2 linked regions of the Struthio camelus genome follow. The protein of the gene in region 2 interacts with the protein of the main gene of each other region in a pairwise test. Links are inferred from orthologs where the notes say so. Each region holds a gene or a part of one and is shown on either strand. Other genes may lie near its edges.

Region 1 (6,854 bases), on a different chromosome or scaffold from region 2:
CAGATAAGTAAGGCGACAATGACATCTTAGGTAGCGGGCACCTTCTATTTTTGTACGGCTGAAGCGCGGGGCGCCGCTGGTGTAAGGCTACACCGGGGCCCAGGGAGATGCCACGCTGCCGGCGTGACATTTAAGGTGGAGCTGCCGGGCCGCAGAAGCGCGCCCGCTGCCAACGCCACCGAGCGCTGCGCAGCTCAGTTTTTACCTATTCCCGCACCGCGGGGCGAGGTGGGGATTTATTTTTATTTTTTTTTTTTCATTTTGCAGGCACCGCTGCTTCTGGGACGGCGGAGCAGGCAGGCTCCCCATCTCCCTTTCAAGGCGCCTACTGAGGAAGCAGTCAGCGACGTGCCTCTCCGGACACCCCCCCCCCCCCACCACCACCACCCCCGAAAAGAGAGCTGCCCGTTGCGGCTCGTTTCTAAGCCAAACGGGCAACTCAGCAGCCCCGCTCACGCTACGACAAAACAGCCCTTTCAAGCAGGCGACCCGGGGGGGCTGCTATAGCTGATGCCGCTCCTCTCCCCTCCCAGCCCCACCGAGGCCACAGCCCGAGATCACCGCTAAAACCAGGACCGCGGCGAATTTGTCCCGCGCACCAAACTCCTTCTAAAAAAACAGCGTTTTAATTAAGTATAGATTTTTTTTTTCTTTTGTGGGGCTGGGGGGGGGGGAATCACCCCGCGTCGCCCCTCTCCTCTCCTTGACCCGCCGGCGTCAGCACGGCACTGCAGGCGCGTTTTAACCTAAAGCGCACCCACCACCACCACCACCCCCCCCACCGCGGGTGCCCCTCACCGCCGCGCCGGGCCTGGGACGCCGCGCCCCTGCGGAAAACGAGCATGCAAACACACACGCAAAATAATAATAATAATAAAAAAAAAAAAAAGAGAGAGATGAATTAAAAGAGCCCAGGCGAGCCGCTCGCGGTTCCCCCCCCCCCCGGGGACACTCACCCCGCGGAGCGGCGCGGAGCGGAGCGGAGCGGCGGGGACACGCGCGGCCGGTCTGCGGGGCGGCGGCGCGGTGCCGCCGCTCTTGTCGGCACTTCCGCCTCCCCCCGCTCTGCCCCCGCCGCTCCTCCCCCGGCCCGGCCCGGCCCGGCCCGGCCCAGCCCGGCCCCATTTTAATTTATTTCTTTCCTTTTTTTTTTTTTTTTTTTTAAAAGGCGGAAACGCACACTCACCTTTTTCTTCTCGCTCTCCTCTTCCGACCCCAAAAAGCGCACCTGCAAAGGCACGGGAGGGGAGAGGGAAGGGCTCTCCGTGCTGTGCTGCGGCTCTGCTGGGCAAGGGGGGGCCCAGGGCCCCTGCCGCCCACCCCCAGGCTGCCTCGGAAATTGAGGCCCACTTTTGCCTTGGGGGGACGAGGGGGGTACACCCCGGGGGTGCAATATACCCCGCTGCACAATGCACAAATACACCCAGGGGCACAACATACCCCGCTGCACAAACACACGCGGAGGTGCAGAGCGCAGCCCACCCAGCCCGTCTCTGCAGCCGCAGGGGCGAGCTCCTGGCAGAGCGGGGACCTGCCTCAGGGGAAGAAAAAAAGGGCGAGCTTGGCGTACCTAAGGCAGACTAACACCAGGACTGACAGGGACGTAACGTCCAGGCGGCCAAGGCCAGCGAGGCCCAGGAGTCGTTTAAGCCAAAAGACGGTGCTGGCGCAAGAACAAATAGGTATGAAGTGGCCGTGAGTAAATTGCAAGCCCTCCCTCCGACTCGGGGTGTGCTGAGCTGAAAGTGCAGAGGGGGCAAGGGTGAACGCCCACCTACCGCCCGCCAAGGCGCACGAAGCCCTCCGCCGCCCCCGGCCCCCTCGGCACGCCGGGCTCTGCCCCGCGACTACGCTAAACGCCTCTCAGAAAAATAAAACCGTATAAAACCCAGGCTAACGCGCCCTTCGGGAACCCGTCCTGTCTTTCACTCCGCTCTTTTCCTGTTAAGTATCTCTAATCAGGCAAAACTGAAAACCCCCGTTACACAGCCAGGCTCTCTCACATGACTTCAATTCATGGAGGTAAAAATTCCCCACCGCAGTGATTTTTCATTGTGTCACAAGGGCCTGAGGTCACTCCCGTGCTGTTTCGGTTATTACAGAAAGCTCCAGGATCCCACTCCCCGGCACGGCTCACGTGACGCCTCCAAGGTCGGCGCGTCCCTGCGCCGACCGGTGGGGTAGAAACCTGCTCCCGGTGCCCCGCTCTGCCGTCCTGTCTGCGGCACGCACGCTAGCATACCAGCTAGCCACGTTAATAAAATACATAAATATATACATACATATATATAAATGCATGCATATATATACATATATATATATATATATAGATACACACACACACACACGCATATTTATATAGCCTTTTCTGCTTCCAGTTTGCCAAAAGCCTTCAGCTTTTCTCAGCAGAGGAACAGCTCGCTCGAGTTAATGCCTGCAAGTCTGCGCTGCTTTAATTGGTCAGGATTAAAGGAAAAGCTGCAGAGGGACTTTTGCCGGTAGGCGCCGCAGCAAAGTCAGCAGTGGCGACAGGCTGCGGCGACACGGGAGGCGCTTTGCCCCCGTGCTCCGTACCTACCCGCTGCCCCCCCAGCCGATGCGACTCCCCGCTCGAGGCCGTCAGTCATCACCACCCAACCTACAGCATGAGCAATTTGAGGCAAATACAGATCCGTTTCCCGCTGGAGAAACGCAGCCTCCAGAGCCCGGGCGCAGAAATTAGAGACAGCTCGTTAGCTGGAGATCCCTCTGTTCTTGGTCGCTTTTCAAATGCCTCTCTCCTCTCGGAGACAGCTTCCCCTTGGGGCTGGAAAACGACATAAAAAGATAGCAAGGTGAGGAAAAACCTCAGCGTCAGCCAGAAGAACTGCAACCGCCCTCTTCTTCCTGCCCGGACCGTATTTTAGACGGCGCTTGCATTTTTCCTCCTGAACGCGGAAGGAGGAAGTCTGGGAACTAATCAAACGCAGCAGTCAGCTAGCCTTGCAGGTACAGCACATCTCCACGGTACTTCGGCGCTTAAGTCCTGTTTGAAGGCTAACGACGTGCCCTGGGTGCCAGATAACGGGCACGCCACAACCAACCCGGACACAGAGGGAAAACCACCGGCGGCTGTGGAATACAAAAAGCCGTAGGAAAAACAGCCCATAAATTACGACCAGCTTAACAATGCACAATAACATAATTCCTGATCAGACAGTAGCTGAGCCAGGCAGTGGCTTCCTGCGCGCCCAGACACCGATCTCCAAGCCGTAGTTGCACCGCACGGCTACCTGCATTTTTGCTTTTCTCCTAGGGGTGAGGTCAAGGCAAGCGCTTCCAGCTAGCGCGCGGCCAGAGTTCAGCGTTAAGTAAGCTGCTCTTTAGAGCGGTTAACGTGAATATTTGTCTGTGGCCTAACGGGCTGTTACCAGCTCCGAGATAATTCTCTGGCCAAACAGTGGAAAAAATTCGACGTGTTCCAAGCGTTTCTCAGAAACAGAGGCCGAAATAAGCTTTTGACAGCGACGCACGGCAAATTTTTTTTCTCGAGTCACGCTGAATCCTAACCTGCTTAGAACCGGTGTCGCAGAAGCACTTTGCTTTTGCTTTTTCCTGCCCCTGGTTTGGAAAGATACCTCTGGCATGCCAGCATCTTCACTTCTCATCAACACCTTTTTTCCAGCACACACGTTTTCTTGCATTGCTGTTTCTAATTTCTGCAGCCTCAGGCCTCGGCTGCGTGCAGTTCGCTCGCGATGTCGGTGGCCATTCCGGTTTTTAAGCTAGTGGCGTTCATTAAATTAAGACGTTAACAGCGTGGCTCTTCCCACTGTAGGGAGCTAGCGACCTTAGAGCTCTTCAGGTTATAAAGAGATTTATTGTCTTCTTTCCAGCTCGATTTCTTCTTCATCTTTTTTTTTGATTTTTCTTGAGTAATGCATTCCTTTCTAAAGGAAAAGTAGCATTTACTGCTGCAGCATCCTTTATTTATTACGTCCCCCAAAATTCTGATGAATTTTGTAAACGAGGGCACCGCGCGCGGGTTACGGCTTGCCTCCATCGCAGCGACTCGGCCGAACAGGCCGTTTAAAGCCTGGTCCTTCACCCGGGCCCCTCAGCTACTTCCACCTGCTCCGTTGCCCCCTTCTCGGGGCAAAGGGCCGCGCTGCCGTCGCGGGAACCTGCCTCGACTTCAGCAGGCTGAGCGTTTCGGACGAAACGTTCGTAGCCACACGATAACGCCGGCAGGCGCGGGACAAGCGCTTGCCCTCCCAACCAAACCCGTAAAACAACTAGTAAATCTTTTAATTTTAGGGGACACGAGAAGCCACATCCACGTCGGATAAAGCCTTCCAGCAGGTCCTGCCAAGCTCCCGAGTAGCCGTGAACCGCTGGGTCACCCTGCCCCGGGCTGACTTACCCCCTTCGCTCTCCTACACCACAGCCACCCTCCCAGCTGCTGAAGCGAGCCGCTTGCTTCAGTGTCCTTCCCCCGAGCACCCGGGAATGGTTTGGGCAGAAATCTGGGGTCTGGGGAGGTTTAGTTACGGTCCACCTCTTGCAGAGGGAGGAACTGCCGAGTGTCGTCTTCAAGCTGCGCGCGACGCACCGCCACGACCACCAGTTCTGTAGGGCCGGGCAGGTAAACACCAAAACCCTCGGAGCCATCCTCGCGCTTATTTATATTAATTAACGTCATGGGAGAGGAGATGCAGCTTCGCCTCTAATTGTCCGTGTAACATATTGCCTTAGCGAGGGAGGGAGCAGCCCCCGCACCGGGCTGGACGGATGCTGGTGCTGCCACAAAATTATTATTATTCATACCAGCATCGATTAAAAAAAAAATAGTTGGCATATTGCACTGATTTAATTCAACTGGATTTTATAACTGTTTAGGTAAATCAGTAGAAAAAAACCCAGCACGTAGAGAAGCCTCGCTAGGCCTTTGCAAGCGCCTCTAAAGCTGTATTTCTCCGGAAAATGCTGAATCCAACCGTGTGCGTAATAAGATCTGAGAACATGTCAAAAAGGTCTTATTTTTAGCTGCTGCCCATAAAAAACACTAGAGCAACTTAAAGCTATTCCCACAGTAAATAAAATACCTCTAATCCTTTCTGACAAAGGGGAATGGAGGGGAAAAAAAAAAACACACCCAGAGAAGCTGATATTTATACATTTTAAGAATTTGTAGCGCGTTTACACACACCAGCGGTATATTCACGTGGGAATCATGTTAACATGATTTATATCCCTCTTGCCGTTTGCCAAAACCCTGGCCGCCTCGTTGGCGCTGCAAGGGTGGCTGTCGCACAGCTCGGTGCGTCGCTGGCAGAAGAGCGAAACCCCGCGCCCGGCCGGCGTTTTTGGCCAAAAAGCAACACACAAATTAAGAAGAGCAGAAGGGACTGGAGGCTCTTGGGAGCATCCTGCCTCTCTAGCCGGCAGGAGTCAAGGAAGCGTCCCCGTGCCTGAGCCTCTCCTGTCCGAGGTACTGCAGCCTGCCATCCCCATCACGTTTACATCTGACGAGTGCTTCAAAGTGCCCTTCTTCTTCTTCTTTTTTTGGCCCCAGCCGTTGCCATCGGCAGGCTGTCCTGCCAAAAAAAACCAGCCCAGTCACAGCCGTTCCCGCACGGGCAGCCTTCGCCCGGGGGGAGTTTGGGCATCCGCCCGCTGAATTACGTTTCCGGACCTTTCGCCTGCTCCTCTGGAAGGAGGTGGCCGACTCAAGGACGATGGAAACCATCGCGCTACCCGTCCGGCCAGTGGGAAGGCCGTCGGTGGAGAGCAGGATCCCTCTGGGATGGCCAAGGACGCCTGGCTCGAGCGGCACTGCCACAGCCGCCGGGGAGCAGCGTGCTGCTTCGGCTCTATTTGCCTGAAACCGAAGGGGAAGGGGGCAGCTTTTACCCTCCGGAAGCACGCACGCGCAACGCTTCCAACCCCCCAAACCGATATACTCGTACCATTATAACTACATTCAAATCCTGTTCCACATTTCCAAATCAGAAACGCATTAAAAACAACCTTCCCCCCCCCACCCCTTTTTTTTTTTTTTTGGCTAAAACGGTAGCTGCACGCCATGTGCAAAGGCAGCGCACCTACGCAGTCTGGACGGTGCTCTGCAAACCAGCAAAACGGACGACGGCTTCAATGTGGAATCGGTTGCCTGAACCGCAGGGAGGGACAGGGAGAGCAAAGCAGAGGAGCCTAGAGAGACCAGAGGTACGCACAGCCTTGGATTTTATATCATTAAAAAAAAAAAAGAAACAAAGTAAAAGAGTCCCCTAAAGCTGAATTCACACTTTTTGCCAGAATTATATTTGAAACTGAATTAAGCACGCATTTATGCTGCCAGCTCACCCCAGAGTCCGAGATTTGTCAAACCAACCTGGGATGTACTCGCACGCGTTTGTCACGGTGCCTAAGTGGTGTTTGCTGCCTTTGAGGGAGCCGCGGCACTACATTTCTTTCAAAAGTGACTTCTTCCTGTTGACAGAGATCAGCCCCGAGAGAGTCACGTCCAACTGTCCTGCGCTGGGTACGACAGAGCAAGGAAACGCTGGGAAGAGAAGATGGGCCCGAGCCCCTAGGCAACGCTCACCGTAAGCTTGTTGTAACCGTCTTAGATGCTCTGAACGTTTTAGGGGACCGTTCCAGTTGCTGAGAAGTCAGAAGCCTCGGTAATGAAGACCTTTGGGAAACCGATCCATCAGTTTTACAAGTTTACGGCGCCGCTGGACAAGGGCCAAGGCCCCGGTCCCTGGGAATGAATGGGATATTTCGGTATTGCCTCATAGAGCTTGCAAGCCCGCAGCAGCCCCGCAACCCGCAGAGCCTGCTGCGGCCGCCGCCGCGTAACCCCGGGAAGC
Region 2 (6,869 bases):
GTGACTTCACTTTTCTTTGTTTTTTTTTTTTTATTTTGCAGTGAAGTATAATTACTTGTAAGGCAAATTTTGCAACCGTACATAGAAACACTCTAGGGAAAAATAACAACATAGGGAATTTTTTTCTTTTTATAGCAGCTAGTTTTAATCCTGACTTTCCTTATATGTAACAAAGAGAAGGGTAACATGCTTCTTCAGGGCATTCTTTTTTAAACATAAACCTTGGAAAAACGCGGACGGTAGAGAGAGACGTTTTGTGAAGGAGCAACCAGGAAAGTTCGGTTATCTGGGGAGTGACCTGTGTGCTAGGGAAGAGAGTCACTGCACAAACGTATGTGGAAATTCCCACTGAAACAAAAGTGAAGATAACGTTTCTTTGCTTATGTTATGCAAAGTCAGTAAGTTCAAAGACGGTGCATTTCACTTAAATGCGTGTGCTCAAAACCCTTCTAAAATCAAAGCAAAATTGAAGCTAGACATCTCAGGCTAAAATATTTGTAAAGCCAACAACAGAAACTGTAATATTTTCTATTACGTGGGAAACTACTAGATTAGAAAGACAGTAAGAGAGGAGTGAACAATTTCAAAGATGCCTACAAACATTAGACACGATCAGAAGTCTTAGGTTCTGAAGGCCCTGCTTAAATTTAAAACAAAATCTTGAAAAAAGAACAAATAGTTAGGACAAAGAGCACTGTACGGATTCCCAATTCTTATATTTCTAGGATAACAGTCCCACAACAAGGCAAGCTGAAACTCCTCAGTGTAAGCTTTTGGCTGTCAGGACTCTGCTATCTGTATCATGTCCTGCAAAATTTATAGTGGCCCAAAAGAAAGATTTTCAGCCCACTAACATTCTAGAGTTCACAAGTTCTTTACCTTAAAGGCAATTCTTTCTCCCACTTGTGGCGGGGCAGCTAGAAGAGGTAATACGCTATAGTTTCTCTTGGGGACCTCCACAGGATTCTGTGAAAGAAACAGTAAACCTACTGATGTAATTACTGTATTAATAAAAACAGAAGACAATGTTTGTGCTGTGTGAACTGGAGGAAATTCTGAGAAGGTTAAGGTACAGATTTAAGTGTTTTGTATTAAGAAATACAATTCAGTCATTTAAATATTACTTCATAAACACTTCCTCAGGCTGCTAAACAGAAATACTCTAACTATGAGGTTTATTACATCAAAAGACTATAATCTCTTTCTGCTTCTATAACAATGCACATCTTATACATCATCTTTGTACAGTTCAAACTGCAAGAGAAAGGTGACTAACGAGTGCGTAAGTCCCTCACCTGCACAAGAACTGAAGTGTTTGTCACTGCTTCATTTAACTGCCTCTGTTTCTGGCCTTCAGTTTCGTAGTTATAGAAAAAGCCCTGGTTTTCTCCTCTCCCACGGCCGCGGCCCCTCGTCATCCCGCGAAACCCGCGGCCCCTCGGTCCTCTCCAGAAGTTTTCATCTCCTGTTCCTCGCCCCCTTCCAAGAGCTGGGCTGGGAAATGCTCCTTGAACGCTGGCTGGCGACTGTTTATCACTGTTTCTTACTACAGAATTACTTGGTCCAGCATTTGCTTTGGGTTTTTTAACAACTTTTTCTGAATCTGAACTATCAGACTCTGAAGAAGAGGCCTGTGCTTTGGGAGCCTTCGGGGTACTGTTTTTTACAGCGGCTGCATTATTAGGCAATGGCTTTTTCTTTGTGCTACTGTTTTGTGCTGTTGCCACTTTGTCATCCTCTGCGCTTGAGTCAGAATCTGAACTAGAGCACTCGGCCTTTTTAGATTTTTTACTAACTGCAGTCTTAGTGGAGTTTTCAGCTTTAGACTTTGCAGTCACTTTACCAGAAACAACAGTTTTCACATCAGAATTTGCAGCAACTTGGGATGCGTTTCTGGGAAGCGTTGCCACCACAGGTTTATGGGAAGATTCATTTTGCTTTACATTTACTTCGCTGCTGTCAGTGTCAGATGATGTGCTGGAGGAATCTGAATCTGAAGGTCCTACCCTCTTGTTCCTGGATTGTGTGGTGATTTTTTTGGTGTTATTTTTACCAGAATTTAGAGAAAAGCTGTCATTCATCTGTTCTAAACCCATCTTTGCTCCAGTGGCCTTTGTGTGCTTTCCATCCTTCCTTTTTGTTGCCAACTCTTTCTCCCTCTCTGCTTTTTTAAGCTTTTTTAATTGGTCAGTAGAGCTCTCCTCCTTACCTTCTGTGAGTCTCTCTCTTCCACTAATTTCTTCCTTCCTTTTTCTTTTCTTGTACTTTTTTTGAGAGTCCCAACTATTTACAGAGGTTTCTTCCCTACAAGAGGAATACTCAGGACTATGTTTATTCCTTTTCTTTTCCCTTTTGTGCCTGTCTTCTTCGCTTCTAGGCGATCCTTCCTCCTCCAGCTTTTCTCCATGCCTTTTTTTGTCTTGCCTTGTGGTACAGAAGAAGCCGTGGTCTACCTCTTCGGAATCATCTGCCACCACCTCTTCCAATTTCACCCTGTCAAAAAGCCAAACCGACAGGCCGCGGTCAGCACCCGGGCCGCGCTCGGAGCCTTCAGCCGAGAGCCGGGGCACCGCGGTCTCCGCCACGGGGGCCGCTGTCCCACGCCGGAGCCCCGGGCGGACCCGGCCCCTTTCTCGCACCTCTCCCCCCTTTTATTCCCCCCCCCGCACTCGGGTTTTTTCGCCCCCGGCCGTACCGCAGGGAGTCGTTGTCCCGCACGAGGCGGGCGCTCTCGGTGGGGGGCAGCAGCGCCCCCTCCAGGAAGAGGCTGAGGCGGGCCCGGCGGCTGAAGCCGAAGCGGTGGCGGATGAGGCTGAGCAGGTCGGTGACGAGGCGCACCTGGCCGGGCTCCAGCAGCAGCCAGCACAGCGCGCAGCCCGGGCTGCCCGGCGGCGGGTAGTCGAACAGCAGCCGCAGCCGCACCGGGCCGCCGCCGCCGCCGCCGGCCGCCGCCATCTTAGGGGGAGGAGGAGGAGGAGGAGGAAGGGCAGCGGAGGGAGGGCGGGCAGACGGCGCCGCGCGTGGGACAAAAGGGGCGGGCGGCGCGGGAGCCGCGGCCGCGCCCCCTGCCGGCCGGCGGGCGGGGCGCGCGCTCCCCTCCGCTGCGCGCGTGACGGCGGCGCGTGAGGCAGCGGGAGCCGCCGCCGCGATGGAGCCGCCACCGCGCACCGCCGCGGGGCGGCTGCTGCTGCTGCTGGCGGCGCTGCCGCCGCTGCCGCCGGTGGCCGGTACGGGCCGGGCCGGGGCTCCGGGCGCGGCTCTTCAGGCGGGGTCGCCCTGGGGGCCCCCGAGCCGGCCGCGCTGGCGGAGGCCGCCGCCGCCGGGGTGGGGGGGAGGGGAGAGAGGAGGCGGCGGCAGCTTCCTCGGGGCCGTGACAGGACTCGGTGTCCGCGCGGGCTAGATGGGGTCGCCGGGAGGGAGCCCCGGTTCCCGCGGCGTTTCCGGGAGGCCGCCAGCGCCGCCCCGCCCTGCCCGAGCGCCCGAAAGCGTCCCCGGCCGACGGGACGGGACAGGACGGCCGCGGCCCCCCGGCGGGGCCGCGATGTCCCTCCGCCCCTCGGCCGCGCGGCGCTGCCAGCGGTAGCGTTTTCCAGTGGACGCGCTTCTACTTACCGCGCCTCCGGAGCCCGTCTGGGGGCGAGCCGGCAGCTGATCCGCTGGTGCCCAGCTCCCTCCTTCCTTCCGTCTCTGGTGGTTTCCAGGTGCGGTACGGAAGCAGTCCCGAGAGCCCAAGGAGCTGTGGGGCTACGTGCAAGTGCGAAACAAGGCCCACATGTTCTGGTGGCTCTACTACGCCGACGGCCCCACCGAGGACTTCACAAAGCTGCCTCTCGTCTTGTGGCTGCAGGTGAGGTCTGGTGGAAGAGGCTTTACGACGAGTTCCGCTTTTCTTCCGCGCCCGGTTCAGCGTGAGGGGTCTCCTGCAGCTCCGCAGAGGTAGCGCTGAGGGTCGTCTGACTCTGGGTGACTCCTGACTAGTGAGCGAGGTGCTCCGGTCAGGGAGGCATAGCGAAAATACCATCCGTGCTTGTGGGGGGCCCTCAGCTGCTCACCTTCTATCGCGTCAAGAGCTTACAAGAGTAGATAAAGTGATTAGAGATTTAGGAACTTTGGTATATGAAAGCAGGTAAGGGAGACTGATTGTTTAGAGCTTGATCTCGTTCAATTGCGGGTGATAAGAAGCAGTGATATGTGCTCCACGTTCACCTCCAGCAGTACACTTCAGGAGTTAATGCTGAATATAATCAGAAAATGACTTGGTCTTTCTCCTTCTGGGTTATTCCTTTGGAGTGAAAGGCATATGCTGTACACGTTGATTAAAAGCGGTAGCTAGCACCCATTGGCATATAGCTAACTTCTGCATCCCTTATGAAGGGAATAAGGGGAACGGTTTTCAAACTGCACTTGCATAAGGTGATTCATTAGATGCTTTCACAAATGGGTCATTGCTTCCCTCTTACATCTTTGCCTTCAGAAATAGCATGTGTACACAAAATGAAAGAAAAGGAGGAAGAAAGCCTTCTTTGGAAATGAGCATGTAGTGCAAAAGATATTTTTTTATTTTAAAATATGTCATTCTACTGGTTTGCTTTTATTCTCCTGTCTCTCATATCCATACCATGCTGCCTTTTAACTTATTCCTCACTTCTTATCTTCCCCCCTTAGGGAGGTCCAGGATCTTCAGGCTGTGGATTTGGAAACTTTGAAGAGATTGGTCCATTAGACAAAGAAATGAAACCAAGAAATACAACCTGGGTATAGCAAAGAGTTCAGCTTCTAATTATTCACTGAAAGGCATGCTTATTGCTTGGGCAAGCAGGTGATTGCTAAGCAAAAATGCCCACAAAAAAGCTTTAATTTTAAACTCAGTAGAACTATGATATTTCATCTTGAAATAATGTGGTCAATAAAATGGCTTATCCAAATAGTCTTGCTAAGAAACGAAGAATAGGCCTATTCATTTGATTCGGAGACTATCTGGGCTTGCATAAATTTGTGAATTGCAAATGGCTGGGAAACTGAAAATAGGGAAATTCTAGAAAGATGTTATTTCAGATCATAGCTTACGGGCGTATAAGCAGTGGCTTCCAACTATGAGTCCAGTATGGCCTTCAAGGGACACCAAATTACAGCTGTCGGTGAAGTTAGAGGTTTATTCACCAGAAGGTTCGCGTGCTCTGCACAACCAGTCGTCTAATGCCTGTATTAGTCTGTGTTTCTCTGGATCATCTGGGTGATGGGTGCCTTTGGATGATGGGTGCCTTTCTTTCGCAGACCGGGCAAATCAAAAGATCTTATGTTGTACTTTATTTATGAGCTCTTTCTGCTTTGAGCCATGTTAGCCCTCTCTGTGCTGATATATTGGTTTTATTTGTACATTTGTAAGTGTATAACTAAGCATTTCCTGTAGCAATTTGACAAAAGCACCCAAAAGAAAAACTCATTGTTTAATTTCTTACTTCACATTCTAACAGACAAAAGTGCCCCCGTACCATTCTCTGATGTTAGACATGCACTTCACTTTTCTGCAAGTCATTTCATAATCAGAGAGTCAATGGCTCAGACGTTTATGCTGTCAAAACCAAAGTCTGCACCTACGCTCTGCTGGTAGCTGACCTGAGATTTCATGCGACCCTTCTTTCTGCTTGTACAGTTGCAGGCAGCCAGTATCCTGTTTGTGGATAATCCTGTGGGTACTGGATTCAGTTATGTAGATGACTGTAGCTTGTTTGCCAAAAACCTTACTGCAGTAGTCTCCGATATGATGGTTTTTCTTGGAGAATTCTTCAAGTCTAGGACAGAATTCCAGGTAAGTGATTTGAATTCTTGGATAGTCTCACATTTTTCTTTGCTTTTAGGCAGATCTCAAAAGAAAGCTAGAAAGAGGGCGTGAACAGCCTTCTAGATGGGCACTGTTTGCTACTAGGTAGCCCACAGCTGGTGGGAGGTACCGCAGGTATAACCAGCGCCCTCTGTTTCCCGCAACTCAAAAGTGGTATCTCAAATTGCTGTCTTGGGAGGCAGTTAGATGAGCAAAGGGGTGGATTATTGTGTCCATTGCTATCAGAGGAGCATGTAGGACCAGGGATGTTTTTAATTCCAAAATACTGAAGTGCCTGCTTCAAAACTTTCCCCAGTAATTACACCAGGAAGTTGTAGAAATCTCATCTTGCAAGTCAGAATCAGAAAACATTCGGTGTTTCGTTCTGGGAGGCGAAGAGCCAGAGCCCAGGGTCTGTGGGCCATTGGATAGGGGGTGGAGAGGGGGTTTGTTGTGCCCTGGGCCTAATGGGTTTATTGTCTTCTCTCTCCAGACCATCCCATTCTACATATTTTCTGAATCTTATGGAGGGAAAATGGCTGCTGGCGTTGCTTTAGAGTTGCATGAGGTAAGTAGTTGGAGGATCTAGTGCATTTTTCACTTAAAAATGTGGTATCCTACAAGTACTTAAGGAGATCTAAGTTCTAGAGTCGTGGACATCTAAGTAAAAGCTGTTTTTTTGTTTGTTTTCTCTGATGTGCCAAGGCTGTCCAAAAGGGGAGCATAAAATGCAATTTTGTTGGGGTTGCTCTTGGAGACTCGTGGATTTCTCCTCTAGGTATGTTCAAAATCTTCAGACTGTGTGTGTATGTGTGGTTGGTTTATTTGTTTGTTTTAATTGTTCCATGAGTATCTGAGTCAAAAAATGCCAGCCATGAATTAAATCTCTAGTGAGCCCGGTAAATCAAATCACCAAAAAGAAATATTTAAACATTGCAAGCTGTGACTGAAGAGATCTCCCTTTAGAACACATCCAGATTACGAAAGCTCTGAGAACAAAGTCAGTGAGGAGCATACTCGCATCTGAAGTGGGGCGGTAGCAAAATGT

Evidence for each region.
Region 1: the proteins of COIL (region 2) and PDZ and LIM domain protein 5 interact in binary tests that used the Homo sapiens proteins (3 or more experiments, as listed by UniProt). The two-hybrid records come from large-scale screens. The link is inferred for Struthio camelus from reciprocal best matches to the Homo sapiens genes COIL and PDLIM5.

The regions. Positions count from the first base shown.
Region 1 is NC_090945.1:15,049,471-15,056,324, reverse strand, and holds the start of PDZ and LIM domain protein 5, read right to left. Parts: upstream 3,021-6,854; 5' UTR 2,897-3,020; intron 2,888-2,896; exon of another isoform or gene 2,807-2,887; 5' UTR 2,648-2,806; coding exon of another isoform or gene 2,643-2,647; 5' UTR 2,628-2,642; coding exon 2,579-2,627; intron 2,368-2,578; exon of another isoform or gene 2,353-2,367; coding exon of another isoform or gene 2,339-2,352; intron 2,131-2,338; exon of another isoform or gene 2,006-2,130; coding exon of another isoform or gene 2,004-2,005; intron 1,740-2,003; coding exon 1,571-1,739; intron 1,229-1,570; coding exon 1,187-1,228; intron 1,068-1,186; exon of another isoform or gene 957-1,067; intron 1-956. UniProt on the Homo sapiens protein: May play an important role in the heart development by scaffolding PKC to the Z-disk region. May play a role in the regulation of cardiomyocyte expansion. Isoforms lacking the LIM domains may negatively modulate the scaffolding activity of isoform 1.
Region 2 is NC_090960.1:5,473,232-5,480,100, reverse strand, and holds the start of COIL (coilin), read right to left. Parts: upstream 3,019-6,869; 5' UTR 2,956-3,018; coding exon 2,696-2,955; intron 2,494-2,695; coding exon 1,296-2,493; intron 967-1,295; coding exon 880-966; intron 1-879. Other genes in the region: SCPEP1 (retinoid-inducible serine carboxypeptidase), read left to right, coding at 3,149-3,227, 3,702-3,847, 4,666-4,755, 5,654-5,809, 6,315-6,389, 6,527-6,599. UniProt on the Homo sapiens protein: Component of nuclear coiled bodies, also known as Cajal bodies or CBs, which are involved in the modification and assembly of nucleoplasmic snRNPs.